7 linked regions of the Oryzias latipes genome follow. The protein of the gene in region 1 purifies or fractionates together with the protein of each later gene. This does not show direct contact. Links are inferred from orthologs where the notes say so. Each region holds a gene or a part of one and is shown on either strand. Other genes may lie near its edges. The genes, in order: stx8, vamp3, stx12, vesicle-associated membrane protein 8-like, vti1a, vamp4 and napa.

What was found.
Region 2: the proteins of stx8 (region 1) and vamp3 purify together in Homo sapiens (co-immunoprecipitation; 3 studies listed by BioGRID and IntAct, with this or other methods). This does not show direct contact. The link is inferred for Oryzias latipes from reciprocal best matches to the Homo sapiens genes STX8 and VAMP3.
Region 3: the proteins of stx8 (region 1) and stx12 purify together in Homo sapiens (affinity purification with mass spectrometry; 3 studies listed by BioGRID and IntAct, counting the BioPlex papers as one, with this or other methods). This does not show direct contact. The link is inferred for Oryzias latipes from reciprocal best matches to the Homo sapiens genes STX8 and STX12.
Region 4: the proteins of stx8 (region 1) and vesicle-associated membrane protein 8-like purify together in Homo sapiens (co-immunoprecipitation; 5 studies listed by BioGRID and IntAct, with this or other methods). This does not show direct contact. The link is inferred for Oryzias latipes from reciprocal best matches to the Homo sapiens genes STX8 and VAMP8.
Region 5: the proteins of stx8 (region 1) and vti1a purify together in Homo sapiens (affinity purification with mass spectrometry; 3 studies listed by BioGRID and IntAct, with this or other methods). This does not show direct contact. The link is inferred for Oryzias latipes from reciprocal best matches to the Homo sapiens genes STX8 and VTI1A.
Region 6: the proteins of stx8 (region 1) and vamp4 purify together in Homo sapiens (co-immunoprecipitation; 3 studies listed by BioGRID and IntAct, counting the BioPlex papers as one, with this or other methods). This does not show direct contact. The link is inferred for Oryzias latipes from reciprocal best matches to the Homo sapiens genes STX8 and VAMP4.
Region 7: the proteins of stx8 (region 1) and napa purify together in Homo sapiens (affinity purification with mass spectrometry; 4 studies listed by BioGRID and IntAct, with this or other methods). This does not show direct contact. The link is inferred for Oryzias latipes from reciprocal best matches to the Homo sapiens genes STX8 and NAPA.

The regions. Positions count from the first base shown.
Region 1 is NC_019859.2:9,119,033-9,123,264, reverse strand, and holds the start of stx8 (syntaxin-8), read left to right. Parts: upstream 1-1,278; 5' UTR 1,279-1,385; coding exon 1,386-1,402; intron 1,403-2,343; coding exon 2,344-2,443; intron 2,444-2,544; coding exon 2,545-2,639; intron 2,640-3,088; coding exon 3,089-3,199; intron 3,200-4,232. UniProt on the Homo sapiens protein: Vesicle trafficking protein that functions in the early secretory pathway, possibly by mediating retrograde transport from cis-Golgi membranes to the ER.
Region 2 is NC_019863.2:28,591,609-28,595,825, reverse strand, and holds the start of vamp3 (vesicle-associated membrane protein 3), read right to left. Parts: upstream 2,948-4,217; 5' UTR 2,840-2,947; coding exon 2,838-2,839; intron 1,928-2,837; exon of another isoform or gene 1,801-1,927; coding exon of another isoform or gene 1,799-1,800; intron 1-1,798. UniProt on the Homo sapiens protein: SNARE involved in vesicular transport from the late endosomes to the trans-Golgi network.
Region 3 is NC_019869.2:17,750,669-17,754,933, forward strand, and holds the start of stx12 (syntaxin-12), read right to left. Parts: upstream 3,001-4,265; 5' UTR 2,885-3,000; exon of another isoform or gene 2,868-2,884; intron 2,322-2,867; 5' UTR 2,283-2,321; coding exon 2,186-2,282; intron 1,741-2,185; coding exon 1,671-1,740; intron 872-1,670; coding exon 772-871; intron 313-771; coding exon 175-312; intron 1-174. UniProt on the Homo sapiens protein: SNARE promoting fusion of transport vesicles with target membranes. Together with SNARE STX6, promotes movement of vesicles from endosomes to the cell membrane, and may therefore function in the endocytic recycling pathway.
Region 4 is NC_019867.2:25,800,713-25,804,133, forward strand, and holds the end of vesicle-associated membrane protein 8-like, read right to left. Parts: intron 2,553-3,421; coding exon 2,367-2,552; 3' UTR 710-2,366; downstream 1-709. UniProt on the Homo sapiens protein: SNAREs, soluble N-ethylmaleimide-sensitive factor-attachment protein receptors, are essential proteins for fusion of cellular membranes.
Region 5 is NC_019877.2:9,985,489-9,989,644, reverse strand, and holds the start of vti1a (vesicle transport through interaction with t-SNAREs homolog 1A), read left to right. Parts: upstream 1-1,212; 5' UTR 1,213-1,316; coding exon 1,317-1,410; intron 1,411-4,156. Other genes in the region: palmitoyltransferase ZDHHC6, read right to left, coding at 1-44. UniProt on the Homo sapiens protein: V-SNARE that mediates vesicle transport pathways through interactions with t-SNAREs on the target membrane. These interactions are proposed to mediate aspects of the specificity of vesicle trafficking and to promote fusion of the lipid bilayers.
Region 6 is NC_019862.2:3,865,183-3,869,483, forward strand, and holds the start of vamp4 (vesicle-associated membrane protein 4), read left to right. Parts: upstream 1-1,299; 5' UTR 1,300-4,301. UniProt on the Homo sapiens protein: Involved in the pathway that functions to remove an inhibitor (probably synaptotagmin-4) of calcium-triggered exocytosis during the maturation of secretory granules.
Region 7 is NC_019871.2:5,024,801-5,028,519, reverse strand, and holds part of napa (alpha-soluble NSF attachment protein), read left to right. Parts: intron 1-2,322; coding exon 2,323-2,369; intron 2,370-2,481; coding exon 2,482-2,559; intron 2,560-3,719. UniProt on the Homo sapiens protein: Required for vesicular transport between the endoplasmic reticulum and the Golgi apparatus. Together with GNA12 promotes CDH5 localization to plasma membrane.

The sequences.
Region 1 (4,232 bases):
ACATCTCGTGTGTTTTTACTCAAACACGACCACTGTTTGGCTATGAAACATAAAACCTTTACAACCACTTACCTCTCTTGTGGGTCCTACTGATGTGAACTTTAAAAACACTCATGAACAAGACATGCTGTTGATCTGTCGTTTCAGTTTACTCTAAGGAAAACAGAGGTGAGCATAACAAGAGGAGGGTGAAAATAGGTCACTCAGAATTAGACTGACATGTTTGAAGACAATTCTTAGAATATTTTTTTGCTGCTTAGAATTAAAACTTTTTTTTTTTCATCTGGTCTTCTTAAGATGTATAGATTTCCTTTTGCTTTATACATGTGTGATAAAGAAGCGTAAACCACAAAAACGGATATGTAATTTGTGCTTGTGGTCTTTTTTTCAGTATTTGTCCTCTTCAGTTAAATAAATGAGCATTTTCAATTACGCTTTTTTTTAAATAGACAAAATTGAAAATAAAGTTATGTATCTTTTAGCTGCCCTTATTATGTTTATTTTACCATTAATTACACCAAATTATGCAATTGATTTTTGAAAGGCATATTTAAAACAAAAAAAAGTCACAAAGCAAACACATAACTGGATTTTTCTACTTTCATTCTCTTGTTGTAGAATAAAGACAAAATGGCTCAAAAACTAATCTCTTTTTCTCTGTTTTACCAACGTCATGGCTCACGTAAGGACATACAGTTGTGAAAAAATGAACAAAAAGTAATAGTAATAATAAATAATTTTTTCTGTACAACAACCTGATTAAAATGTTTCTTTTTGTTTTCCTTCAGGGTTTTTTGTGAGCCTCAAGAAAAATCTACAGGTGTAAGCTAGTGGAAAACGAGTCAACAGATGGATGTTGGGAAGTGGGATGGGCTTACTCCACACCAACAGTCCCTCCTGTATCTCAGAGACAAATTCTAACAAACTCCTACCGCTCTGCAGAAACTATGTTGTAAAAACAGACACTTATTTTGTGTTTGTTTGTTTGCTTAATTTTGACTAAAAACGGAATAATAATAATCAACAAACATCAGGAAACGCTTTTACAATAGAACAAAAAATGGTCAGAGTGGGATGTTAATACTTTTGTTCAGAATAGGAGAACACATAATCTGATTGATTTAAACGAAATCTGTTTCAGACATCTGAAAATAAACACCGTTTTTTAAATATAAATTACATTTGATACAAACTAATAATTTGTTAAAAAGTCATACCTAAGTGGGGGAGAACATTCATGAATTCCCTTTGCGGCATTATGAGCAGCGCGAACGGATGTAGCACACCGCTTGCCGTAGTCGTGACGTCACAATCAAAACAAGTGACTTTTTGGGATTACGACCTTATTCCGTGGAATTTATTCTTTATATCTAATTGTTGTCACAATGTCTCAAGACCTTTGGTAGGAAATGATATCTGTTCTTAACAAAAGAGTGGATCAGTTCCAGGAAAATGCCGGTTTTTAATCTTTAAAAACTGCTTTGCTAGCAGTTAGCCTTAGTAGCTAGTTCCTTGAAGAGATTAGCCAAAAACAGCCACATAAATATTTAGTAGAAAAGTTATTTTTGTGTTTTAGGAGAAGCATTTTATATAGTAATGTCTGTTTGACTTGATTTTTCTGAGATTTCTTTAAGTTATTAGTTGTTAAACAACGTAATGCTAAGAAAGTCCAAAGATTTAGCTTCAGAAACGGGGAAAACAAACCGGCGAAAGTCGTATACTTTAATGTTACGTTTGAATGTGTTTGTGAAAAGAAAAAACGTCTGCTACACATGGATGTGAAAACTTAGGACAGTATACTTAATTTATGTTCCTCTTCTTAACCTGCTTCCCTGTTTATCTCCAAAAACACCTAATATAAACGGATTCTCTGATGTTTTCATTCCTGATTCCATCGATCTTCTAAAGAGAACGTAAACATATTCAGCTCGGTTTCCTTCAGTTTTGCATCCTGTCTCTTTCTCAGATTCTCTAAATCAACAACATGGCTGCTCTCACCTTCTTCTACACATTTATTTTCATTTTTTCTGTTACTATTCTTGACATTTGGCCTGAATCCTTCCTCCATCCGCTTCAACCTGCTTGCACAGGCTTTCCCACCTCTTTTCCAGATTCTAACTACCTAAAGTCCTCCACCTTCTTCACCTCTCCTCCCTGTAAACCTCTTAATTCCAGCTGAGTAAATAAATGTTTGTTCAAAAGGTTTTTATACCGCTGCTGTTTCCTAAAATCCACTCTGAAAATTGTCAAAATGCTCTAATTTTAGTCCTTCGGATTTGTCTGGCATCGTATGCACTTCTAAAGTGTAGAGACTTGCATTTAATGAAGTCTTTTCATTTGTAGGTTACAGAATTATGATGCCACGTGCCGTCTAGCACAGGAAATAGCAGAAAACATTCATGAGAGGAACAGACAGCAGAGAACAGGGGGAAACCCTTCTAAGGTATGGTCCTGGATATTCATATTCAATGAAAATTAAACCTGTGATTTGCCTAATTGTATACAAAAGTGTTTTGTTTTTTTTGCATTTGTTTGTTTCTCCAGATAAACATGACATTACGGGCTTCACTCCAGAAACTGAAGCAGAATAACGCCCAGCTTAAAGACAGCTTGTTGCGAACATCTTCATCTCGGCGAATGTATCCTTTCCAATTACAATACCCAAGCACAGAGAGTCATGGGACTTGCATTAGAATCATTCCTGGAGTGTTTTCTCAGCTTGCAGTAACAGTGGAATTCCTACAGAGGGCGGTAGAGTTATGCAAAAGAAGGAAACATCCTTTATTTGCAATATAGTATCCTCTTGACTAGCAATGTAAATTCGTCCTCTGTAGGGGACATTCTAAAATGGAACATCTCCCAACCAAAGCAAATTACTGACTTCTTGTGGTATCTACAGAGGTCATTTAGGACCTTTCAATAATACCAAATGTGAAGGGATGGGGCTCTGGGAACTGTAGTTTTAGTGGATTTAAAAGATTGTTTAACTGGACTTTTTTTTTCCTTCTCTCTGATAGACAGGAGGACATAGACAATGCTCTAATAAATGAATATTATAATAAATTGTTTCTTAACAAGCTCAAATCAGAATGCAGGCAGAAGCTGACAGAAGACAGAACCTTGTTGATGACCTGCTAACCAGAGAAAAGCAGCTGAATGCAAGTTTCAGAGGAGACGTCACAGAGCCTGAGACTACCAGGTATTACCATACAGAGAATTTATCTACAGTCTTTCAAAAATCTAATCTCTATTGTTTATAATAACTAAGATAGAAACTGGAAGTTTTCTCAAATCTTTGCATCATTAGGTGCAGAATGTTTTTTAAAATCTTCCTCAGTAAGTGTCTTAAAGGCCAAGTTGAGCATCAGCCCCCTTGATTCTTCTTCCTGCCTTCTTCTTTCTTAGAGGATCACTTATTTAATTACTATATCGAGGTCTACGGCTGCCTAATTAAAATGAAGGAATTCTCTTCTGCTTGTATTTGTTTTTAACCAAAGGGGTCACAAGCCCTATTCTTTAATGAAATGTTGCTGGTCACCATCTTCCTTTCAGTCTTTTCGACCCATGTGCTTTGATATCTCCACGTGTCACTTAGAAGAAAGACTTCCTTCCTGCCATTTTGACAGCTTTGTTTTGCATCTGCTCTGATTGCTTTGCGCTTAGAAATGTCACTTAAAGACGTTTCAAAATGTCAACCTTGTAAAAGTTAGGATACCATTATATACATTTTTTATATTTTTAATTTCTTTATGGTTGTAAATATTACGTTTGTTTAGTTTTAGAAAAAAAATGTGCATGAACATTTTTTCTCAACGGGTAAACCCGGCTGCTGCCATCTGAAATTTTCCTAGGGGCCACTGCGGGCCCCATACAGGTTTGCCTATTTTTGGCCTGCAGACACCCGTATCCACCTGTAAGGGAAGTTCAGACTACGGCATTTGCTAACACATCAAGCTGTGTAGTGATTTAGTAAAGGTTCTGAATGAATCAACAGTACAGTTAACCAAATTATCACTGTCCTCTATTCAAATCTGCTCCAAAAATGTAATCGATTGATCTGCGAAGAAACTCCTGACACCTCCTCTGAGCAACTGTAACCTCTTAGGACGTGGCGTCCACATGCGTGGGCATCACATTTTGGGTTATTTTACCACAGTAGTTAATTCTGCGTAACTCTGTGATCTCATGCTTAGAGGGTTAGCTCAAATGTTAGCTCGGGTGGTAAGAGGTTA
Region 2 (4,217 bases), on another chromosome or scaffold:
AGGTCATGAGTGTTTAAGAAACCAGCACATCAGTCATGAATTGAGCATTGCTGCAAGAACTATCTCTTCAGGAAATAATTTAGTGAAAGATTAGGTTTTTACAGTTTAATTGTACTTAAAATATTTACATTGGTTAAGTGATTTGTAGAAATACAGCATTTTAAAGAACGTTTAGTGTAAAGCAAACACCTCCACAAGCAAAGAGATCTTTTGGGAGGATATTCTTTTTAATACTTGGTTGTTCAGATACAAACAATAATCAGTGTAAAGGGTATTATTCTTTTAAGTAACAAAAAAGCTCCACAAACACGGGAGAGCTCTTAAAACCAGACAAGATTTGATAATGATATGGGATTATTTCATGACAAAATATACTGGTTTATCTAAAAGATACAGTCGTCAAACAAATAAAATGTAAACACAAAAATAAAGGAAAAGACACAAGAGGAATAGAACTCAATCAAACTGTCGTCACAAAATTTGTTTCAAAAACATCTTAAGAACTGGTTCAAGACGCTCCCACAAATAATGCCTGTTTACCTTCTTCAATCAAACCATGCCATCATAAATGTCAACAAGTTAGAAACAATGTTTTTATGATTGTATAGTGCTTGTGATTGTCTCTCCTGGTTTTAAATTATCATTGTATTGTTACCACTTAAGATGTTTATCAATTCCTACTGTTCTATTATATTTGTATTTAGTTTTTACATATTGTTTATACTGCTCTTTTTTATTTATTTATATTGCATTTTTACTCTTTTGCAAGCTTGTTATATACTATAATTCTACTTTTTGTTCATGTTGTATTTTTGCTGGAAATTTCACATAGTTTTAAGGAAGACAAGGTTGGTACCAGTCCAAGGACTACTGATGAATAATAGCTTTATGATGTTTTTTAATGCACAATATCCCTGTTAAATAAACAGATAAACGAACAATTATTTAAATAATATGTCCCTCATATTTGTTTTTTCTAAACAAGCAACAGTTTAAAAAACGCTCCGTTTCATCTTTTATAGAAAAAATAATAATAATAATAATTATTGAGGTCATCATCCAAAGTTAATATTAACTTACAAAAAAAGTTGTATTTTAGTTAAATCTCCTTCCAGAGAATTTCTACTGCTGAAATTAAATTAAATTTGAATGTCAGTCACCGTTCCCCAACTCTGTTCATGAATATGTCAAACAAGTCTGACTTTCATCAAACCTTATCCTAATTATTATGCTCCTATATTTATGCTTTTTATAGTAGACATCGGTGATGTTATATTATTAAAAATAAAAAATGGTACATTAAAAAACCAAACAAACAAACAAAGAGAGCAAGATATTGTGTTGTTGTCACTCCAAACTAGCAGTAATCCGCATATTATGAATGTATGTGATATTGATATTGCGTTGTTAAACTATATAATATGGGCAGCTAACTAGAAGAAGCGAGGCCGACTTCAGACAGACAGACCGGTTCAACAGAAACATAAACTTGACCGTACTTAACAGATAGTCCTTCATTATATATTTTGAAATTTTAAATAAGTTCTTAACCACCTAAAAAAAACGATGAAAGTTTTCCCAAAAATTGACTTTTAAGTAGCAACAGCGCGCGACTGCTAACGCTAGCTTAGCTTTCATTACCTTCAGAAGAGAAAAAACGAGCTAACCTATTTAGCACTTGTTGCATGCTAGGAGCAAAGTTTAGGGCGTTCTCTTTTCGGCGTTTCATAAACGGTAACACGACACACATTAGGTTGAAAATATTTCAAAAGCTACGAAAACAGGTTTATAGACTTACATGATGAAGATTATTGTGTTTTAACGACACCGCCGCTGTTTCTCGATAGTTATTTCTCCGCCGTAACAGCTAGTGCTGTCGTTTGAAATGCTGCCTTCAGGGTCGTCGGAAACGGGAAATACCAAACAGTGAGAATTATTGTTCAAGATTGACTAATTTCAAGAAACTCCGTTTCAAATGGTTGTATGGTTACAAAAACTGAGATGTGGTAAAGATAAAAAATAATTCATAACATAAAAACGTTATTGGGCTTGTTCAAACAGACACTTTTGCAGAGAAATATAATTATTTGATCAACCATTCTTCTTTCTACCCCTAACAGATGTAAAGTAGTAATTGTTTACTGGATTTAAAAATAATAAAAATAAAACATTTAATTCAGTGTAGTATAGACAGTCTTAAAAATTACATTTTGAAGTACGGAACACCCTCCCCCCTCACCCCAAGATCAGATTTCAAGAACTCAAAAGGTCCAGTATCCTTGTTTAGACAAAATCTCAATACTCAATAAAAAATTAAATCTCTGTGTTCCTGTTTGTTATCATAGAGTGTAATGTGTGGAGAAAGCAACGACAAGCTCATGATCAGCATGTGACAGGAAAACACACAAAAATTCCTTTAGCTGCCTGTAGTTGTTCACAAAGCAATTTTATTTTATAAAATGCTCAGAGAAATAGAATAGTCATTAAAGAAGACAGACGCAGAAACTAAATGGATCACTTGTGAATTGAATAACAGATATTAAGAAAAAACATCACAAGTTTGAATAAAAGAAGTTTAATAAGTTCTTAACCACCTAAAAAAACGATGAAAGTTTTCCCAAAAATTGACTTTTAAGTAGCAACAGCGCGCGACTGCTAACGCTAGCTTAGCTTTCATTACTTTCAGAAGAGAAAAAACGAGCTAACCTATTTAGCACTTGTTGCATGCTAGGAGCAAAGTTTAGGGCGTTCTCTTTTCGGCGTTTCATAAACGGTAACACGACACACATTAGGTTGAAAATATTTCAAAAGCTACGAAAACAGGTTTATAGACTTACATGATGAAGATTATTGTGTTTTAACGACACCGCCGCTGTTTCTCGATAGTTATTTCTCCGCCGTAACAGCTAGTGCTGTCGTTTGAAATGCTGCCTTCAGGGTCGTCGGAAACGGGAAATACCAAACAGTGAGAATTATTGTTCAAGATTGACTAATTTCAAGAAACTCCGTTTCAAATGGTTGTATGGTTACAAAAACTGAGATGTGGTAAAGATAAAAAATAATTCATAACATAAAAACGTTATTGGGCTTGTTCAAACAGACACTTTTGCAGAGAAATATAATTATTTGATCAACCATTCTTCTTTCTACCCCTAACAGATGTAAAGTAGTAATTGTTTACTGGATTTAAAAATAATAAAAATAAAACATTTAATTCAGTGTAGTATAGACAGTCTTAAAAATTACATTTTGAAGTACGGAACACCCTCCCCCCTCACCCCAAGATCAGATTTCAAGAACTCAAAAGGTCCAGTATCCTTGTTTAGACAAAATCTCAATACTCAATAAAAAATTAAATCTCTGTGTTCCTGTTTGTTATCATAGAGTGTAATGTGTGGAGAAAGCAACGACAAGCTCATGATCAGCATGTGACAGGAAAACACACAAAAATTCCTTTAGCTGCCTGTAGTTGTTCACAAAGCAATTTTATTTTATAAAATGCTCAGAGAAATAGAATAGTCATTAAAGAAGACAGACGCAGAAACTAAATGGATCACTTGTGAATTGAATAACAGATATTAAGAAAAAACATCACAAGTTTGAATAAAAGAAGTTCGAGATAACTTGTGTTTGAATCAGTTTCAGGTACACACAATAACAATGGACATGGATCATGTCTCTCTAGATTAAGAAAAAAATTTAAAAAACTAAAATCTATTTTAGTTAGAAAAAATAATAGTCTATTTTCAGGTATTCTGAAAAAAGGCGTTATATTTTCAGACTAAATGCAGACATCTCCAGCTCTCATTGCACACACTAATTCTTGCAATCAGGTTTCTTAATGTTTTTGCTTCAAAATAACATTTCATACATTGATCATTTCATACATATATATATATATATATATATATATATATATATATATATATATATATATACATACAATTTTTTTTTACTTGTTGAAAGATCTACTTTGATTTATCAAGAGTACATGCTAGCTGCAATAATTTGCAAGGTTGTGGTTTGTCTATTTGCTGTTTCTCAACTGAGGTGGTTTGCGTTTTGGCTCCGTTCCAGATCCTTCAAAAACCTCAGCTTCCTTTGCAGCTTCAGTTGGTTTCTGGGGGGGAAGTTTTTTTTTAAATCAATGCAGAGGTTTTAGTTTTATTTTAAACACAAATGTTTATCCATATTTTAAAGGTTAAAAAAATAGAGTT
Region 3 (4,265 bases), on another chromosome or scaffold:
GGATTAGATGAATCATCAGATAAGTTATGGGACTTTTCAAAATAGGACAATTAAAATCCTAAGTAGGAGAAAAAATGCTGATGATTAACAGGTAAAAGGAAAAATAAGGAATATTGTGGTTGTTTTCCACACTTTTCCTGGTGTTGTGTGAATCCATTCCTGAGTCTCACTCACTGAGAGGCGGGATCCCGCTCTGGCTCTGGCTATGGACTCCCGCTCTTTCTCGGCTGCGTGTCGCTGAACCGCCTGGAAGTTGTTGAGCGCCGCAGAGAAATCACTCATGAGCCGGTCTCTCTGAATCTTCTGCTGCCTCTGGACAGAGCAGAGCACCCAAAGCACATTAGGAGACACTTTTTAAAAAAGCATTTAGATAACGGTTAAGATTTTAAAGTTCAATCCTGACAATCACTTTCCAACATTCAAGCAGCAACATTGTAACTTAACTCCTATTTTTTCCTAAAGATTTTCAGGAAAAATCCCTGCTTCCTCTGTATCGTTTATACATAAACTCGGCTTTCATCTCCTGCTTAAAATTTACAAAACAAAAAATTAGCAAATCTCAACTACAAGAATCGCCTTCTTTTACTAATATCTGATCACTTCAGAGGTCACAACAGCAAACCATCTCCCTCCAGTTAAACCTTTCTGCTGCAAAAATACTTTGAAGTACTGCTGCACACCGTGTTTGGAATACTGCAGTCAGGGGAGACAGTTTTGGTAAAAACTCAGGATTTGGTCTTCATGCAGACGTTTCAACAAACTCCCACTTACCTGTTCAGAGGGGGATAGAGGCGCAGGGACAGAGCCTAGTTCTTTAAGGTGTTTGTTGGTTTCCTTCGCAAGCTGGTTAGTGTAGTGCTGGATCTGCTGCCTGCAGAGAAAACTGTGCATCAATAAAAACAGGACTGAACATCAGCCACAAGAAGAAGCTGCTTCCCAGATTCAGGCTATTACAGTCCCAGCCATTCTGCTCCACACTAAAGCACACTCAATGTGTAATGCACTACTGTTAATGCATCTGTAAATTGCTTTTATTGTCAATTCAATTCAAATAAAGCTTGAAATTTTTAATTTTCTTAGTATTTTTTTTTAAATCAAATAATAGAGCTTTTCTACCAGCTCTGAAATAAATCAAAATTTTAAAATTCTTTGCAAAGTGAAAACACGCCATCAAAAAGTGTGACACATTCATTTAGTCGCAGAAGACAAAAGAGATTATTGAAGTTTACTCCACAACCACCAGCAACAGTCATTTAACCTCTTCCTGGTCTCACAGCATCACTTAAATGTGCAAAGCAGGAGGACTCCTGGGTCAGTAGATGTAGGTTTTGTAGCTGAAACCAAATTTTGTCACCAAAAAGCCTGAATTATAACAATTTTAAAGGTTTTACTTCTCAATACATATGATTAACAACAGTGTGTGCAAGAAATGCATGTAAAGCAAACTGGCTGTGTTAGTTTTTTTTTTCATATTGTCTTAAACATAAGTCAGGGTGCCTTATTGAATAATTGCATCAGTGTTGGTCTCATATTCAGCCTCATTAGGAGGTTATTACCAACAAAGATAACACTGATATTTGCATCAGATGTTAACCAGCTAGAAAACCTCCATCTGCCTGTGTTTTCATTAAAACTGGTAGAAAAAAATGAAACAAGAAATGATGACATACAGACGATCGTGAAGTTCACTGGAGTCTTGCCTTGTCCCTTGCTGGTTCACCATGGTCTTAATCTGTGCGGCTGTCAGGAAAACAGAAACAATCTTAATCTCCAAAACCTTTACTCAGGGATCATCTGTGTGCACAGATATCAAACAACAACACAGAAAAAAACACAAAAACCAATCCAAACCGCAGAAGCAAACGAGCTAAGAAATAGTTTAGTGTCCATTCTTGTATAGACAGCAGAAAATGCAACTTAATTTGTGAGTTTTGTACCAAAGAATGTAAGCACTTATTTACTGTACACATCTCAAAAAGGAAGCAAACCTGAACATTTAGAATAGTGTATTTTCCTGAAGCACTTGTGATGAATTAGCCATGTGATTGCTTAACCTGGATCTCCCCCCCTGAACAGGCCTGAGTTAAGCAGCAGATCATCACGATTCTTGTAAGCATTCTCACATGACTTCTTCCTGAGCCAGTGACTAACAATGAGTCTCAGCTCCCAGCAATGGAGGACTCACTGTTCTGTGTGATCTTCTGGATGTTGGAGCTGCATGTCTGAATAAGGGAGCCAAAGTCCCTCGGGACAGGGCGGAACTCCGCTTTACCGTAGGACATGTTTGAGGCGGAAGGCTTGGCTTTGATGTTGAGCTAAAACTGTGCATGCAAAAAAAGAAAAGGAAATTTGAAAAAGGCCACAAACTGTTATTTAACATGAATAATTCAATCTAAAACTCCAAATGTAGGTCGGAGGGAGAATGCAATCACGCTTCAAAACTTACTAAAACGCACAGACTAAAAAGCTGACATTTATTAAAATCATCACACAAAATTATAATACAGACTAGTAAAGTATATACAGAACTGTTAGGATTTCGCTGCTTTTTTTTTTTGACATGACGCACACCATAAGACCCGTACGCTTATTTAACTAACCAGCAGATGTTGACTTATAGACAAACATGAAGCCGCAACGTTAACATATTGATAGTATAACCACAACAATGTTACCAGAGCGACGTTCTGCTAACGGAATTTTACATCACAGAGTGACATTCCCAACAACACGTAGCGGAACGATGCTAACGTGTTAGCTAAACGTGCTAACTTCTAAGCGTTAGATTATAAACGATGAAATCGTTGCGTTGCATATTTAAAATAGCGTTTAATCGACATTTGAAACTACGAAACAAGGTAACTGACGTTTATTTTATACTTGCATATGATTCAGCTGAAGAAACAAATTCTCGCCCTTCGATCAGGGCTTGGTTCCGGATTCAGCTGAGATCACCGAGCCCTACTTCCTCTGACAACCAATCAGGTCACGCATTTGAAACCAAACCACCAATCAAAACGCTGTAGCGTGCCCGGGTCCAGTGAGCCACCAATCAAAACTGAGCATTCGACTTCCTGGTATGTGACATTTCGGTATGACGTTGTTTTTTGTTGTTTTGTTTTTTTTAAATGCTCATACAGACCAAGTAAGGGTGAACAAACGTTATAAATGCGCATATAGAAAAAAAAGAAATTCCCGGGTCCAGATTTTTCATATAGAAAAGAACATCAGATAAGGAAAAAAAGGGAATATTTAAAACTTTGAGTGACAACCAACTGTGAATATCAGTCCAAAATATTTTTGCAACTGTAAAAGAGATGTTCTACGTTTCAGTTTCAGATGAACAGAATATGCGTGGTTCTGATTGAAATTTGAATCTTTTATGTAAAAAATCTCCAACAGGGTAAATTTTAGATATTATTTTAAAATGCGTTTCTTTCATTTTAGGTGGAAGTGGGTACTTTGTGTATAAAGAAAAAGATTTGTCCATTAGGGTGGTTTCTAAGTCGCGTTCATTGTTTATGCTAAAGTTGCAGAAAATTATTTGTTTAAAGGTTAGAGTTTATTGTTGCCTTTTTTATCTTTTAGGGGAATATCATTAACTTTTCCATTAATTCTGGAAATTGTGGTTTGATTGCATTGTATTGTAATATGTTATGAATAAGATTAAGTAAAGGTATGGTAATTGCTTAACAGACTTTGCTATAACAGTTACTAGAATCCTTAATTTTGTATTTAGTTACAAACCCATTGTATGATAACAGCATTCCATCAGTACGCATCAAGTCATAGACAAAACACACACCATTATTCAGAAATAAACAAGGATTTATTGTTTACAGTTATAAATCTGCCGCCACCAGTGTGTGAATGGGTCTGTGTTTGTAAACCGCTTTGGGCCTTGTAGGTAGAAAAGCGCTATATACTGTAAGTGTACGCCATTTACACCATAACTGCGGGGTTGAAGATGCTGCAAGGGAAAACATACATGGAGTGCCATTATCAAGTGGCTGGAATAATATACAGAAACACGTGTGCAGAATATGAACTGGAAACCTCAAAGTCAAAAAGAGAAACACCTCTGAAGGTGATAGAGAATGAAAGGGCAAAGATCCTGTGGGACTTCCAGATACTGACTGACAGGATGGTAATGGCGAACCAACCAGACATTGTAGTGGTGGATAAAGAACAGAGGAAAGCCGTTGTGGTGGATGTGGCAGTGCCAAGTGATGGGAACATCAGGAAGAAGGAACATGAGAAACTGG
Region 4 (3,421 bases), on another chromosome or scaffold:
CCATAGATTTTATGCAGATGTCAGATAAAAAAGATGGTTAAAGGTTTAATCGATTGTCTGAGGTGTTATAATTGGAATAGTTTTAAAATACATATTCTTATCTTCAGCAGCACAGTAGTGTCTTCTTGCTGCTTATAGGCAAAGTTACTAAAAGTATATACCTGCAAGTAAATCTGCTGCAGCGAGGATCTCATTTGACACAAGGCGTATTTTATTTTGAAAGGAACATGTATGAGCTGCTGTCAAAAGTAGAAGCTAAAGTTGTTATCAATAGAAAATGTTAACAGAAAGTATTATATAAAGGCTACATTTTTTAAGTGAATGGTTTAATAGTCACACAATCATAAATAAAATGTACTTTTCTGAATAATAAAGTGACTTTTTCGCTCTTGCTGCGTTTTGGTCACTAGGAAACAAACCCAAGTGGCTATTTTGGCATAAAAGGTTGTAAACCCCTGTTTTAGAGCATCACAAAACTTTATGTATGTCAAAATAAAGTTCTTTTATTCTTTTGTTAAACATGTTGTTTAAGGTAACTTATTACAACTGCATAGAGTTGTTTCAAAAAGAAAAAAGTGAAGAGCACTGGTGTGAACTTTATTCTTTTATTGGACATTTATAAATTCACTTTCAAATCTTTTAAATTAACCAATCAGGGCATTTTTTAGCACTTTTGAGGCAGAAAGAAGAAAAGCTCACCGACACAGGATGAATGACATAAATACTATTTATTGAATCCACCAATAAAACCATTAAATACCAGAAAGTCTGGACAATTCTATAAGAGATAAACTTGACAGAATGACGCCTTACCACAGCAGCAGTCGTAAATAGCTTAAACAGACTAGAAGGGAAGAGAGGAAGATCTCATGCAATAGAGAAAGACTGCAGATCAGGCGACCAGGAGCCCCGGCGACCAGGAGCCCCGGCGACCAGGAGCCCCGGCGACCAGGAGCCCCGGCGACCAGGAGCCCCGGCGACCAGGAGCCCCGGCGACCAGGAGCCCCGGCGACCAGGAGCCCCGGCGACCAGGAGCCCCGGCGACCAGGAGCCCCGGCGACCAGGAGCCCCGGCGACCAGGAGCCCCGGCGACCAGGAGCCCCGGCGACCAGGAGGCCCGGCGACCAGGAGCCCCGGCGACCAGGAGGCCCGGCGACCAGGAGGCCCGGCGACCAGGAGGCCCGGCGACCAGGAGGCCCGGCGACCAGGAGGCCCGGCGACCAGGAGGCCCGGAGGCCCAGCTTTATCAGAGACGCACGTACAGAAGAAACTAAACACATACAAACATTTCTTCTGTAATATTTTACCATTAATTTCTATGTAAATTATCTGCTCAAACTGACAAAAATATTAATTGATTTGATGCAAAAAATAAACCATTACATTTTTCAAGAAACACTTTGATTAAGACACTGATTAGTTATGGAACCTGGAGAAAATGTCAGCTATTTACAGTTAAGTAGAAGCATAAATCAATGCTGCGGGACGAGAAACACAAACTTGCATCCTGGGAGTAAGAATACGTTGAAATTGACTTTTTCCAGCAGTGACTGGCATGACTAGACCAGAAGGGGGCGAAAGGCACATGATCTAAATGGCTTCTCTCAGCTGATAGGCTGGAAAAGCCTCTCATCATCCTCATGCTGGCTTTGGTTTTACTACATGAAGCCGCAAAGGAAGGGCTTCGTGTTGTAACATGAACGGCAGAGGGACCGGCAGAGAAAGAAAAATCAAAGAAAACAGCAATGAAGAACCATACCAAATTGTACAACCTTGTGTAAACATCTCATCCAATGACAAAACACTTCTGCACGATTCTGCCTTTCAGCGCTTTCAGCCCTGAATGCACCACTGACCCCTTCAAAAGGTTGGAAAAGTACCATCTGAGTGTAACAAACTCCAGGGCTTTGTTTCTGTAGCCACGTTTCCAAAAACGATGAGCAGAGAGAAAAAAGTAGTGGATTTTGGATAAAACAAACATGACTGATATAACTGGTAACATTTACTTCTAATGTGCGATTCAGCCCAGCGTCAGATATATTTATCAATTTAATACAGATCAACTTGTACAGAAGTTTGTAACAGAAAAAATAAAATAAAATAGTCTTAGATAATTGGACATTGCATGCAATATTGACGTGGCCAACAGGAGGCGTTTCACTTCTATAAATAACTAGGAGACGCTCCTTTATCACATGATGAAGGTGACAAGCAGCTGATATCAAAGAAGAACCGGATTAAGAGGAAACTAAAGTGTCAAATATTTCTTCATAGGAGAGTAATTTTCAAGAGTCTGTACATTACAGTGTGCAACTGGGATGTGTGTGCTTCATCCATGTATCAGCTATCCGAGTGTTGCTGTGGGCTCAGGGTTTGGTGGTGGGGGTGACGATGGGAGGCACGGGGTTTCCGGTGGGAATGACGCCGGTGGCCAGCAGCACGATGATGAGGATGATGACGAGGACGATGACCACCAGCACCACCACCAGCTTGACGTTCTTCCACCAGTAAGAGCGGGCGACTTTCTGTGCCGTGTGCTTGAAGTGCTGAGCCTGTGCGAGGGAGGGGGGAGAAGAGAAGAAAGCCAGTCAGGAGGGGAATGCTTCTGATGGATCGGGTACAAGACCTCAAACTAGGGTGGTGGGGTCATGTGACAGATGGAAGACAGCAGCTAAAAGAAGGAACGACTCATGCATGGAGATCACTTTGACGAACAGGCACCATCAATATTCTAGGATTAAACTAAAGAAATAACATCAGATTCCTGAGAGAATTTACTGCTAGAGAGGAAAATAAGCAACTACTTTCCCAATTCCAGTCTCAAGCTACGTATACATCTTAAGCCCTTGGTGTTCACACTGGACTAGCGAACCTGTGCTGTTTACCAGCACATGTCCACCACCTATAGTTAGCAGAATTCTTTCACAGTTTCATTCCAATATATAAAAGACTTGAAGTCAAAGAATTCCATCTGGGCACAAATCACAGTTATTCATTTCTCCTCCATGCTCAATGTTCAAATGGTTGACACTTCCTTGAATGACAAAGATGTCTTCCATTCGCCTCTACCAAATCTGACTCCCTGATTGGTCAAAGTTCAGCCTGGTTTAACCCTTTAACCCTTCACGTAGCAATCTAGTCAGAAGTGAGGTGCATCTAATGTTCTCATTTCGAACAGTCAGGCTAAACGCGGGGAGCGTCCACTTATCACTTGACCAGCGCTAACCGGCTCCCTACGCAGTGCGCATGGTTTGAGGAGATTGAAATATCGTCAAGGGTAGTGACTAATGCTGCGTTCACACCGAACGCGAAACTCCCGTCTGCTGCCTGCTGTTTGACAAACGGCAAATCCTCTGCTTCACGCTTAGACTTGGTGCTCCCGATGCATGTGGGAGGAGCTACCGTCAAACCTTTTTAGCCT
Region 5 (4,156 bases), on another chromosome or scaffold:
TCATGGAGGTTCTCGAATCGAACTAACGCTGAAAGGAAATTCATATTCGTCCCACTGGAAGCTTAAGAAAATGTTCTTTTTTTTTTTTTTTTGTTGGGGACCTGAAATGTTTGGACTCTGCCTGAGTGTGCTACTTGTTTCTTATATCTTGCAAAGTCAGCAGTGCACACATTTTTATTTTCATCTTTCAAGAATCCAACTACATCCCTGGTCTGTGGTCACCCGGCCTTTCCGTGTCCCGGTGTGTCTTGCCCTTGAAGAGCGCAGCATGCTCCCCTCTCAAATCCTGAAGCACAGGAACCTTGTGAGAGTCCGTTTACCCATCTGATGGAGAGAAAGAGAGAAAAAAAGGGGACAAGCATTTATCATAGAGTGCTAAAAGAAAAGGCTATATTTCCTCTTTATATATGCAAAATAGGTGCTATTTATCTGGAAAACAGGTAGTTGTGGGTCACATATTGACTCCTATCTTTATATAGAAATCTATATATTCTAAAGAACGACATAACTATAATGAAAACACTTTTAATGGTCAAATTAATTACGTTTTATTGTTTTTTAAAAACAGAGATATTGGAAGGGTGAAGCTTTGAATGAAAGAAGAAGAAACTCCATGCACAACTAATTAGCTTGTCAAGTCAAGCTTAGCTAGCAAATTCAAAACAACATTTTAAGCTAATTCCAACAAGTTTCTCTATGTATCAGGAATTCATACATTCATACTAACATCTTGCAAAATTGTAATTAGCTTGGCTGTTTAGATAAACATGTTTCGGCTTAAGAGTAGATGCATGCAGCAGGTAGCGAAGAAGTGAGGTTGGTTAGTTAGCTAGCTCGTTCACCATCTTCCACTACCAGCACTGACAGGAAAACCATTTCAAACTCGAAAAAAGAAAGATGAATCAAACATGACACACGAACGTAAAGCTACGTAGAAATAAACACATTGAATAGTGTTTCAGTAAATAAGCTGTCACTTTAAATTAGTTTAACCTTACCACTTGCACTTCGGATTTTTGTTTTCCTCCCCTATGTGCCCTGAGAACCTTCCTAGTTGCGTCTCGGATTGAAAATCCGTCAACTACAAACAGTCAGATCAAATTTAAAACAAAATGAAAAAATATATGTTTTGTTAAATAACACAACAAAGAGATAGGCGTGATAGTTTTCCGAAACCCTCTCTCAGTAGTAGCGCCAACAGAACACCCAGTTCCTAGCCGGACACCTTTTAGTGTGACTCAAGGAAGAAGCTTGTTATTATTTTGAGCTAACTGTCAGCCCTAGAGCTACTTTGCTACCTAAACGTACTGGTCAAAATGTCTTCAGACTTTGAATCCTACGAGCAGGACTTTGGAACGACTACAGCCGAGTTAACAAATAAAATCGGCAGAATTCCCAAACTAAGTGGAGGTAAGACTTTTACCATTTTAGCGTCAATTAATGATGAGCTGGCAGGCTAGCTAGTAGTAGCAAGAAAGCCTCAGTTCTAGTAGAAGGTGTAGCTTTAATTGTTAACTCTAACTTGTTTGAAATCGTTATAAATATATTATGTTGATACATTTACACGTTTATATTCGCCGTGTGACTCAGTTACTGTGCTCTTTCTGTAGGAACAAAAACAAGTGACCGACTACCTGTGGTTATAATAAATTAATGGTAGAGGCCAGTGTCAAATAGAAACATTATGTCAAATTTATATTATAGATTTTAAGATTATAATTTAAAACCAAAGTTGTTCTTTAGCTTTAAGCAACTGGTTTTAAAGTATTAAAATATTTAAGAAAAATACTTCTAGATTCTACAGATGGCAAGAAACTCCTAACCCATCATAGCTGCTGCCTGTTTTCTGTCAACTTACATAATAGTATTAGAACTGTGATAATCTCTATTCTCTTTTACTATTCTAACATCTTAAACACTTTTAAAATTTAACATCATCAATAATTGTGTACTTAAGCTTCATTTAATTGACTAGAAACATATGTACTTTCCTATTTAAAGTACTCAGTTTAATTTATATCCCAGGGTATTTACTCCACTAATTTGAGAATGGGTTTCAACACTACTAAAAATGTCACTAACATAACAAGAGAGCATATGTGTTCAAATGAAAACAAAAGATCCAAAGTGGAACGTGCATTTTAATAATATTTAGTGGTCTACTACCATCAAATAGTCACCATTTTAGACTTTTACATCCAATGTTTGAAAGCACTTCTATCAATTCTTCTTAAGCCTCTATTTCTTATTTATGCATTTAGTTTTTCTTTCCCAACTATTGCTTAACTTCTGTTAACTTACTGTAGTAAATGAAAACCTTTTCACGATAATTTTGAGGATTTAACTGCAAACCAATACCCTTAGCAAATCAAGTTGTTGTGATATGTCATAAGGTTTTTAATCCCAGTGGGATATGATGCAAAAAGACAATGATTATATTGTACACATGCCTCAGTTAGTTCACATAAAACAATCAAACCATATAGTGTTGGAAGTCTGAACCTAATCATATTATTTACTTAAAAAATATGAACTGCACTGTCATGGTAAGCAATAAAAGAGACACTGTACATATTTATCTCACTTTAAACACTTCTTTGTCACATATGTCCCTGCATATCCATGAAGATGAAGACATTTCTACAGCATATTTTAAATTAGTTGCACATCTTTATTATGTCAAAGCACGAGGAGGACATGTGTTGGTCACAATTTGTGTTTCACAGTAAGACCATATTGTATTTGTCACTTTATTTATGGCACTTTGCTTTGTTTGTATAAGAAAGCATTACTACGGCAGTTATATGGATCACCTCACTGAAACACTTATATTGCAGCCTATACGGAATAATATGCAGTTCATATTGTAACTGTCACAAAATAGTGTGAGCAGATTTCAGATAAGTAGCATATAGTATATTATAAGAATGATTAAGTATGAATGAAGAGTGAATGAATAATGGACAAATTGTTAGCGCTTTGAGCACCAAGAAAAAGCACAGATAAATCTAATGAATTATTATTATTATTATAAAAGACATGAATGAATACAAATTTAAGTCTTTAATTGTAAAAAATCTAACAGAACTAAAAAAAAAACTTAAAAAAATTCACCTGAACATGTGAAACAATGTACTGCTGGTTAAATGCGTAATAGCAATAGACCGGTCAGTTTATTTATATGGCGTCTTACTATGACCGTATAAAACAAGGAGCTATTCATTGAAACTCAACACATTAAAACAACAGTTTAAATGATAACACAATTTAAAAGTTAAATAGTAAAATATTTATAATATTGGAAAATAAAAACACAGTCAAAATAAAACACACCAACAGAGCAGCGTCTAATGGGCAAAAGCCTGGCAATAAAAGTTTTCAGAAGCTTTTTATAAATAGACTGTGAGGACGCTTAGCGAGGCATTCCTCACCTTTGGTGCACAGACTGAAAAAGCCCATTCCTCCTTTAACTTTCTCTTGAACTTTTGTACTCTAATCAGAACCCAGTCAGCTGCCATGAGGCACTGACTGGCATGAAGGGAGAGACAGGCTCAAAGAGGCACGGTTAATTAAAAAAAATTAAATGAAACGGAAGAATCTTAAAGTTAACGTCCAAAATGCACTGGCAGCCAGTGAAGGAAAGCTCCAATTGGGGCGACGTGGTCCCTCTTTAGTGTTCTGGACCACTTAAAGAAGCGGAAGGGACAAGAGGCTGACTCTGAAAGTTACAGTAATCCATTTTAGTTTCTGATGAAAGCATGGATTACTGTCTGAAAGTGTAGTCTTGATAAACAGCGTCACCTTCACCAGCTACCTTAAAGAAAAGAAGCTATACAAAGCGAATTTAGCTATCACGTTTAAAATCACTGTCCGTTTCTGACCTAGATTTGTCCCAGACTTTTAAATGTGAATCAGGAGAATCAGATCTACTGTGGAGGGGTCACACGACTCACTTTAAACTGTCTAAAACAAACTAGGACATAGTTAATTATTTGTTTTTCTAGAAAATCCTATAATTGATAATGACACAGATGTTCTGGTTTGGATGTGATATCTTTGAAGAGTCATGCGTATTTTGAAGAGTATTTGTATGCCTGCCGGGAACTCACTACTGGAGGTTTGGCATTGCCAGAAGCAACCTTTTGCCGGTCACCCA
Region 6 (4,301 bases), on another chromosome or scaffold:
AGCAGGTTATGTGAGCTACCACAGTAAGTTTGAGGCTAAGGAAGTTGATAACCTCAGCTTTCAGTTCCAAAAACAGAGGTATGTTTCAGGGTATGTCAAGTTGCCATGGCAACTCATGCTCTGAACATAACCTGGTCTGGAGCAGGTTTAGTTGAAGGTTAGTTTGTTTTCAGAGAGGTGAAGCAGCATGGCGTGTCCATTTGAAGATGATTTAGTGGATGAAGAAGCTCAGATAATACTTTTTCCACAGTGAAATGGTGATAAGACCACATATGGATGTTGGAAAGATAAACTTTTTTACTTTGATCTAACTTAATTATGTGCTTCAGTTAAGAGAAATCATTTTTAAGTCAGCTTAAAAATAACACGTAGTTATCAGTTATTTTACTTTCATTCAAATTAATTCAATTAAGTAGGTGTAACTTTGGTGCTGCTGTTAGATCGGCACCGCAAGGGATTGTGGGATACCATTCACTTTGCCTGTCTGGACGGATTTGGGTTCAAGTGTGGTTTTTTGACAAAATGTGTTTAGTTGTTTAGCTGTTTTAATGTGTTTTACCAAGTTATTTTACCCTGTTATGTTTAATTCTTTCAGCACCATGAGGGAGAGGGAGGAAGAGGATCACGAGTTTATTTAGAACCTTTACTGCCCAGTGGAGGAATATTTAAGTCAGAGAACAGACTTCATAATGTGGTTCCATTTTGTTTCATTCATTTTATTGTTATAAAAATGAGAAAATCTGCAGCCTCTTAGACATAGGAGAGTTCAAGAATTGCAATAAATTAAGATTGAAAAACATTTAATTAAACTGGAGTAATATGATATTTAGTTAGATAAATATGTAAATTTGAGTTGTAAAAAGAAATATTGAGTTGGATAGACGTAAGAAATTAGGTTGAATAAAGTAATAAGTAATTCATTTAAGTTGGATAAGTTATATATATATATGCGTCACAAGAATAATAGAAATAAGATCAGAAACTATTGCTTTTACTTTGTCCGTTATTTTTCTGCAAGCAGAAACTCTTTTTTTTCCTTTTTTCTTTTGATGATGCAGCCGTGTTACTTTTTTGATGGGTTTATAATCTTCATACGCCGTCATTAATCTCAGACTCCGTCTCACTGAATTGTAGCGCTCTCTTTTTTTCACCACGCGTTTCCATGGTGACTCCGGAAATCGGTGATCCATTGAGAATGTCTTTATGTACTTGCTGTGCACGTGCATTAACCCAGGGTTACCAAGTCGAGCGTAATTACGCTAACTCATATCCGGTCTTTTGGAACCAACATACCCAGAGTAAGCAAGTTCAGGCGGATTTCAGCCAGAGTTCAGGATTAAAGTCAGGGTAGTTTTAATATGCTCCCTGGAATACCCCCCTGGTTATCCATGTCTGGGCGTCCTATTTTTATTTGGTGCACAGGTCGAGACGCCAAGATGGCAGCACGCACTCTGTCTGTCTGTTAGCGTCCTGTGAATGAATGAGTTTATTTTTATTTTTTCTTAACGACTTTTAAGCTATTTTAGATTATAATTTATAGTTGTTTCTGGCCTTTCTGAGAATGGTATTTTGTTTATCAATTACCGTGCTTGTTTTTAGAAAGGCTAGCTCCGAAACTCTGTGAGTCAAAGCCTACTCGATTCATTAAGACCCAAAACCAGGGTTGGTTCACTGATATTCGAAGGAACGCTCCATTTTTTATTTTTATTTTTTTTATTTTTATTTTTTATTTTTTCGACGATCATGAACTGTATGCGGTCATCATGAAGATTATCACCGGGTGATCGTCGCTGGATTCCTGGCGTGACTAACCTTGACGGGCCTTATACTTCATCAATTAAGGGAAGTCCCAATTTACCTTCTATCGAAGCTGGCGCACTATTGTATATATTTTTGCCAAAGTTGAGATGCTGATGCCGTCCTGCCTTCCTAGCACCTGTGTGATATGCCCTATCCGAAGCAGATCCAGGAGCGCTTGGCTGGTTGATGAGCTTGCTATCTTTGTGTGAAGGAAAGTGCTTGATTCAACCCTCGGATCGTGTGATCTATACCCATTTAAAGTTGAACTAAGCTTGGGCAGTAATTTCGCTCTTTTTGCCCGCAGCTTTCAAGCTCCGTGTTCCTTGCTGTTTGTGTGGCACGTCACGGGAGGACGTCTGACAAAAAACAAAACAAAACAAAAAAAAAAAAAAAAAAAAAAAAAACGGCTCTCGGTGTATCCCGAACTGGATTCTGGCAGATATCTGGACTGAAGGCTGCCATGGCCAAAGTTTTAAATACCTTCCTTCAAAGCCCCCGGCAAATAATATCAAGGGCTGAAATATTCTTCCTGCTAACATTGGCCTTATATTCCATCGGAGACTTTGGCATTGCCGTAGCTCTTCGGGAGTCAGATGACTCCCGTCCAGTGAATCCAGTGTGTTGTGTATTTCATGCTGGAACAAAAACTTTTATTCATGAATGTCATAATGCATACGCATCTGTGTGTCTCTCAGACAATCCAAATGAACTGCTGCACCTCAGCTGTGTAATGGTTCTTCAGAAGAATTTTACTATAAACTCTACTATAGCATTCTTAAAAACGTTCCCATCTCTAGGACCTTCAAATGCAGTATGTAAGAAACCACAACTTCAAAGACGCCTCATCTTCTTATTGTTGTTAATCTCCGGGAATATTCCACCAAACCCTGGACCAGATAGTCCTACTTTTAGTACTCCTGAAGACTTCAAATCTCGTAATGGTCTTGGATTCATTCATCTCAATGTAAGGAGTTTATTGCCTAAAATGGATATGATACGCATTTGGGCAATTTCAACTGAAGCAGATGTAATTGTTGTTTCTGAAACATGGTTAAACAAATCAATAACTGACTTTGACATACATATCAATGGTTATAATGTTTTTAGGGCTGATCGTCCCAAAAGGGGGGGAGGTATAGCCATCTATATCAAAACTAAACTTAATGCAAAAGTTCTTCTGCAAACATCAATGGCAAAGAAATTTGAACTTTTAGCTCTTGATCTGGAGATCTCTAATTCTCTGCATATTACCCTAGTTGGTTGCTATAGAGCGCCCTCTGCTGATGGCTCTGCTCTTCCCTCTTTAATGGAACTGCTGTCTTCCTTAAAATACAATGAAGTTGTAATAATTGGAGATTTAAACTGGAACTGGTTGCAAGCTGTTTCTGATGATTTTAAATCTTACTGTGATTCCCTGAACCTCTTTCAATTAGTAAATGATCCTACTCGACCTAACCCCAAATTTCCGGAGAAATCCTCGCTAATTGATTTGATTCTTACAAATTCTCCTTCAAAGTATTCAACTGCTGCTGTATTTGCAAATGATATAAGTGATCACTGTATCATTGCTACATCGAGAAACACAAAAATGCCCAAAACCAAACCACACATTATCATAAAACGCAATGTCAAGCAATTTTGTGAACAATCCTTTTGTCAAGAACTATATGAATTTGACTGGCACACGATGATGGAAATTGATAATGTTGAAAGGGCCTGGAGTTATTTCCATAATGAATTTACAAAAATCCTTGATAGACATGCTCCTATCAGGCACTATAAAGTGAAAGGTCGTAATAATCCGTGGTTTAGCTCAGATTTGGCTAACCAACTACATGAAAGGAATGTAGCATGGGCAAAAGCTAGACATTCTGATAATGCATCTGACTGGCTGGCATTCAGAAAACTACGCAATGCTTGCACTACTGCAATTCGAAATGTGAAATCTGACCATTTTTTGAAAAATACTACAGAAAATTTAAATAATCCCTCAAAGTTTTGGAAGATAGTTAAGTCCCTAAATGAAAATAATTCAGGTATTGAGCTCCCTTCAAGTATAATGAAAAACACTTGTAATATAACAGACAAGACAGAGATGCTTTTATGTTTTAATGAGCATTTTGTTTCCTCTGGATCATTATTTAATTCTATAAAACATTCAGCTGAGTACTCCCTCCCTGTGAATCACGAAGATTTAATACATAATTTCTCATTTTCCCTCTTCACAACTTCAGAAGTCTCAGAAGCCCTTAAACTCCTTGATCCTACTAAATCTGCTGGTCCTGATGATCTGGAACCATATTTTATAAAAGCGGCAGCAGACTCTATCGCACTTCCACTGACCTATTTATTTAATTTGTCTTTGTCCACAAACACCATTCCGCATGCTTGGAAGTCCGCTTATGTGTTACCTCTACTTAAAGGTGGTGACCCAACAAATTTGAATAACTATAGACCAATTTCCAAGTTACCCATTTTGGCAAAAGTTTTGGAAGGTCTTA
Region 7 (3,719 bases), on another chromosome or scaffold:
AAACTTGACATTTCTAGGTTTTACACCTGCAAAAAAAAAAAATATATATATAGAAATGGCTTTGATGTGATACAGAACTTGCTTCCTCGAATATATGACAGGTTGCTTTGAATATGCAAACATTGGAGAACGTGGGCCTTCACGCCTTTCCTAAAACAAAAAAAACAAAAAGAATATGCAGACCAGGGATGATGTTGGGATGATTCAGTTGTTGGTCATATCTGATTCAGAAGGATGCTTTCTGTTGGAACGAAGACTGATTATCAGTGTTCAGCATTTTTAGTGAAGTGATTGATTGATTGTGTTCTTAGAAACAAACTGACTCTATTTGTCAGAATAACCATTCTTGCTCTAATACCTTTTTTTTTTTTAAACATGTTCTTGATAATAATAGGACACTGTACAAAACAAAGTTCAAAAATAAACATTAAAAGTAGGGCTGCACGATATGAGGAAAACTCGCGATATGCGATATTAGTGATCAATATTGCGATGACGATATAACTTGCGATAAATGAACCACTAGCAAAAACAACAAAAACATTTCTATTTCCCTGCAAATGTTTAATTTAAATAAGAGTAAAAATACCTTAAATTATTCTCCAAATGACCCTGATCTAATTAGCAGGGCAACATCTAACGTAAGAGCTCCATCCTATTGGTCAAATGCCTAAAGGGATTTATTCAATTCATTAAATAGTTAAAGTTGCCATAAGATTGTTTTAGCACATTTAAAGTTTACCATTTATTGCAAATTTTCGCTGACTTTTGCGATCTGGATATTGCACAGCTTGAAATCGCGATAACAATAAATTTGCGATTAATTGTGCAGGCCTAATTAAAAGCACAATAAATGGAAATTGGCAACTGATAACCCTTTCTATGGTATTTGTCTGTGTAGTTTATGTTATTCCAAGTAATAAACTATTACTTATTTGATGCTTATTTAGATGCTTCAATAAAAGGAGGAGCCTGCTGGCCCCCACGTCCAACATTTCAAATGTTTGACAGATTTTGTGCAGCGTGCTGCAGACTCCCGATTGGTAGTTGGCTAAAAAATGTGGATTCAGTCCGACTCGGACCAATCACCGCTTACAGACGGCTCCAATATGGCGATCCCCATATTTCGAAAAAATTGACCTAATTTTGTCGGATTTAGAAGTGAACCAACTAGTACGGGCGACGTGGCACTCGCTAGGTCCAGGTTTCAGATGCAGCCACTGATTCTAACACGGTGAACTATGCCACAACAGCTGGAACTTGTCTTCCTGTGGGCCATGGCAAATAATGAGGAAACGACGATGTGAAATTCACACAAACTTAGCTTTTAACCCTCCTATGAGTTCAGGCCTGAGGATCACAAACCCCAAAACATTTTTCCCCTGACGTGAGAGCTTTAAGAAGACATTTCAGTATTTTAAACATTTTTCTACTGGCTGGCTCGATCATCTTTTGATCTATTGTCAAAGCGTTCCCAGTGGGTTATTTTACTTATGATTATGCCGTTTTTAGCCAAAATTATTTCTAGGACATAGTTTCCTTTGAAATTCTTCTCTGACTGTTGGCGTGGAGCAACCCCCTTTCCCGTCACCCGTGACTGAGAGCTTTCTGTTTATACGTTCTTCTGCTATCTGTCAGCCTCTCACACCCTCAACTTAACATGACGAGTGCAACAAAAGTGGCGAGCAATGTTGGAGCCATCCAGCCGTACAGTTTTGATCCAGATTCCAGATCAGACGAGGAAAACAAAGACATTCGTGGATCTATGTGTCTGCAAGTGGATGCATCAGGATGAAGTGGAGCAATATTCAAATGCAATTTTAATCTTAATTTCATTTATATATGTCCTCCTTCATCAGAAAAATGCCACAAGAAACCACAGACTTCAGCTGTTTGTTTCATTTTCTTTTAATATACAGTCTTAAATTGGGATTTTGAGTGTTCTTTAAAAAGGTATTAAAGATCCTTAAATTCTCTTTTGTAAATCTGTAGACTCCCTATTCTAATTCAAAAGGTGGTTTGCAGCAGGAGACGCTCTGCCTGTCCATGTCTGCTGCGATTTGACAGAGTATTCAGATCAACTGAGTGGTTAAACATTTAACCGGTCCCTTAATTTGCGTGCAAAAGCAACACAATAAGAAATGTTATCCCTCTGGACTGAGGAAACTTTTATATTTTCAAGCTTGGCGGTTTAGAAACAGCTTAAAGAGACGGCTCTGGTTTCCTTTTATTTTTCAACATGAGACCATTAAACCCCAGTTTTGTTTTTTTCTTTCCACCAGTTTATATTTTACCTTTTATTTTTGTTTGTTTTCTCCACAGAGGCCATAAACTGCTTAAACCGAGCAATCGAGATTTACACCGACATGGTGAGTTTCAAAGCTGCAAGCTCACTTAAAATGGGAAGAAAAAAAAAAAATCATAGGATGTGCTCCTTTTTTATTTATTTATATTTTTACAGTTGACTTTTTACCATTTTAGGGCCGTTTCACTATTGCAGCAAAGCACCACATCACCATTGCTGAGATTTATGAGACCGAGCTGTTGGACATCGATAAGGTCAGATTACAGAATATGTTTGTTTTATTTCTTAAAAAAGTGTTTGCAAAATAAGTCTGTCTTGACAAACAAGTGTAAGTAAAATAAATAAATACAAATAAAAACATCTGTAGAAACTGTTCCTGGCAACAGAAATATTTCAAGAAATTACCATTAAAGTACCAAGAATTTATTTTAAAGTATAAAATACGTATTTTTTGGAGAATAGGTCATGGTGGGTTTTTTGTGCGTAGTTTGGCTGGAGGTGTGATTTATGTGATATTTTTGAAATGAATAGCAACAACCACTAGAGGGCGCTATAGGCGTGCCAGTACTTGCCACTGATGGAAACGCAGAAGAAGAAGCACCACTCAGTTTTACTCCAGACCAAAGCGACGCAAAGGATGAAAAATTGAACAGATTTAGAGATTTAAAGTGATTTGAAGAGATTAGCAGACTTGTCGGCATGTTTTTTATGATATGGTTGATGAAATATCCATTCTTGGTTAATTAAGAGTCATATATATGTATATAAATATTTGCACATACACTTTTATTTTGCCAAACATATACGAATCGTTGCATTTTATCTTCTAAAAGACGTAAATGTTTAATTTTCTAATTAAATAAATCAAATTTGAAGAGAAAATAAATATTTAAACAACTTTTTCGTTGCGAAATTATTTTTTTTTACATTTTTATTTACCTTTTTCTTCTTTTCAATTGTTCTTTTGATTTACACTCTATTTGAACTCTCCACTGCGGCGTGCAGTTGCCCAGTTTCAGGGTGGACACTCTACCTCCGTGCCGGTGTTTGAACCCTGTATTCACAAGTGTTGCACAGCTTAATGAAACCAGTAGAAATGTTAAACACAGTCCTGTCATCCACACTCTTAGAATTTTTTTTTTTTTTTTTTTTTTTTTAAAGTTGTAAAAATGAAAAGCATCTGGGTTTTACTATTTTCTGCATTTAAAAGATGACTCTTGAAAAAGAAAAATGTTCACCTTAAACCTCTATGCGTTATTGAGCACAACATGAGAGAAATAATGTGAACCTTCGGCTTTAATCATCAAATCAAATCAAAACTTTATTTATAAAGCACTTTGCATATAAAAATACAACACAAAGTGCTTTACATTAAAACACAACAAAATATAAAAACAAGCATGACGATTAAAAT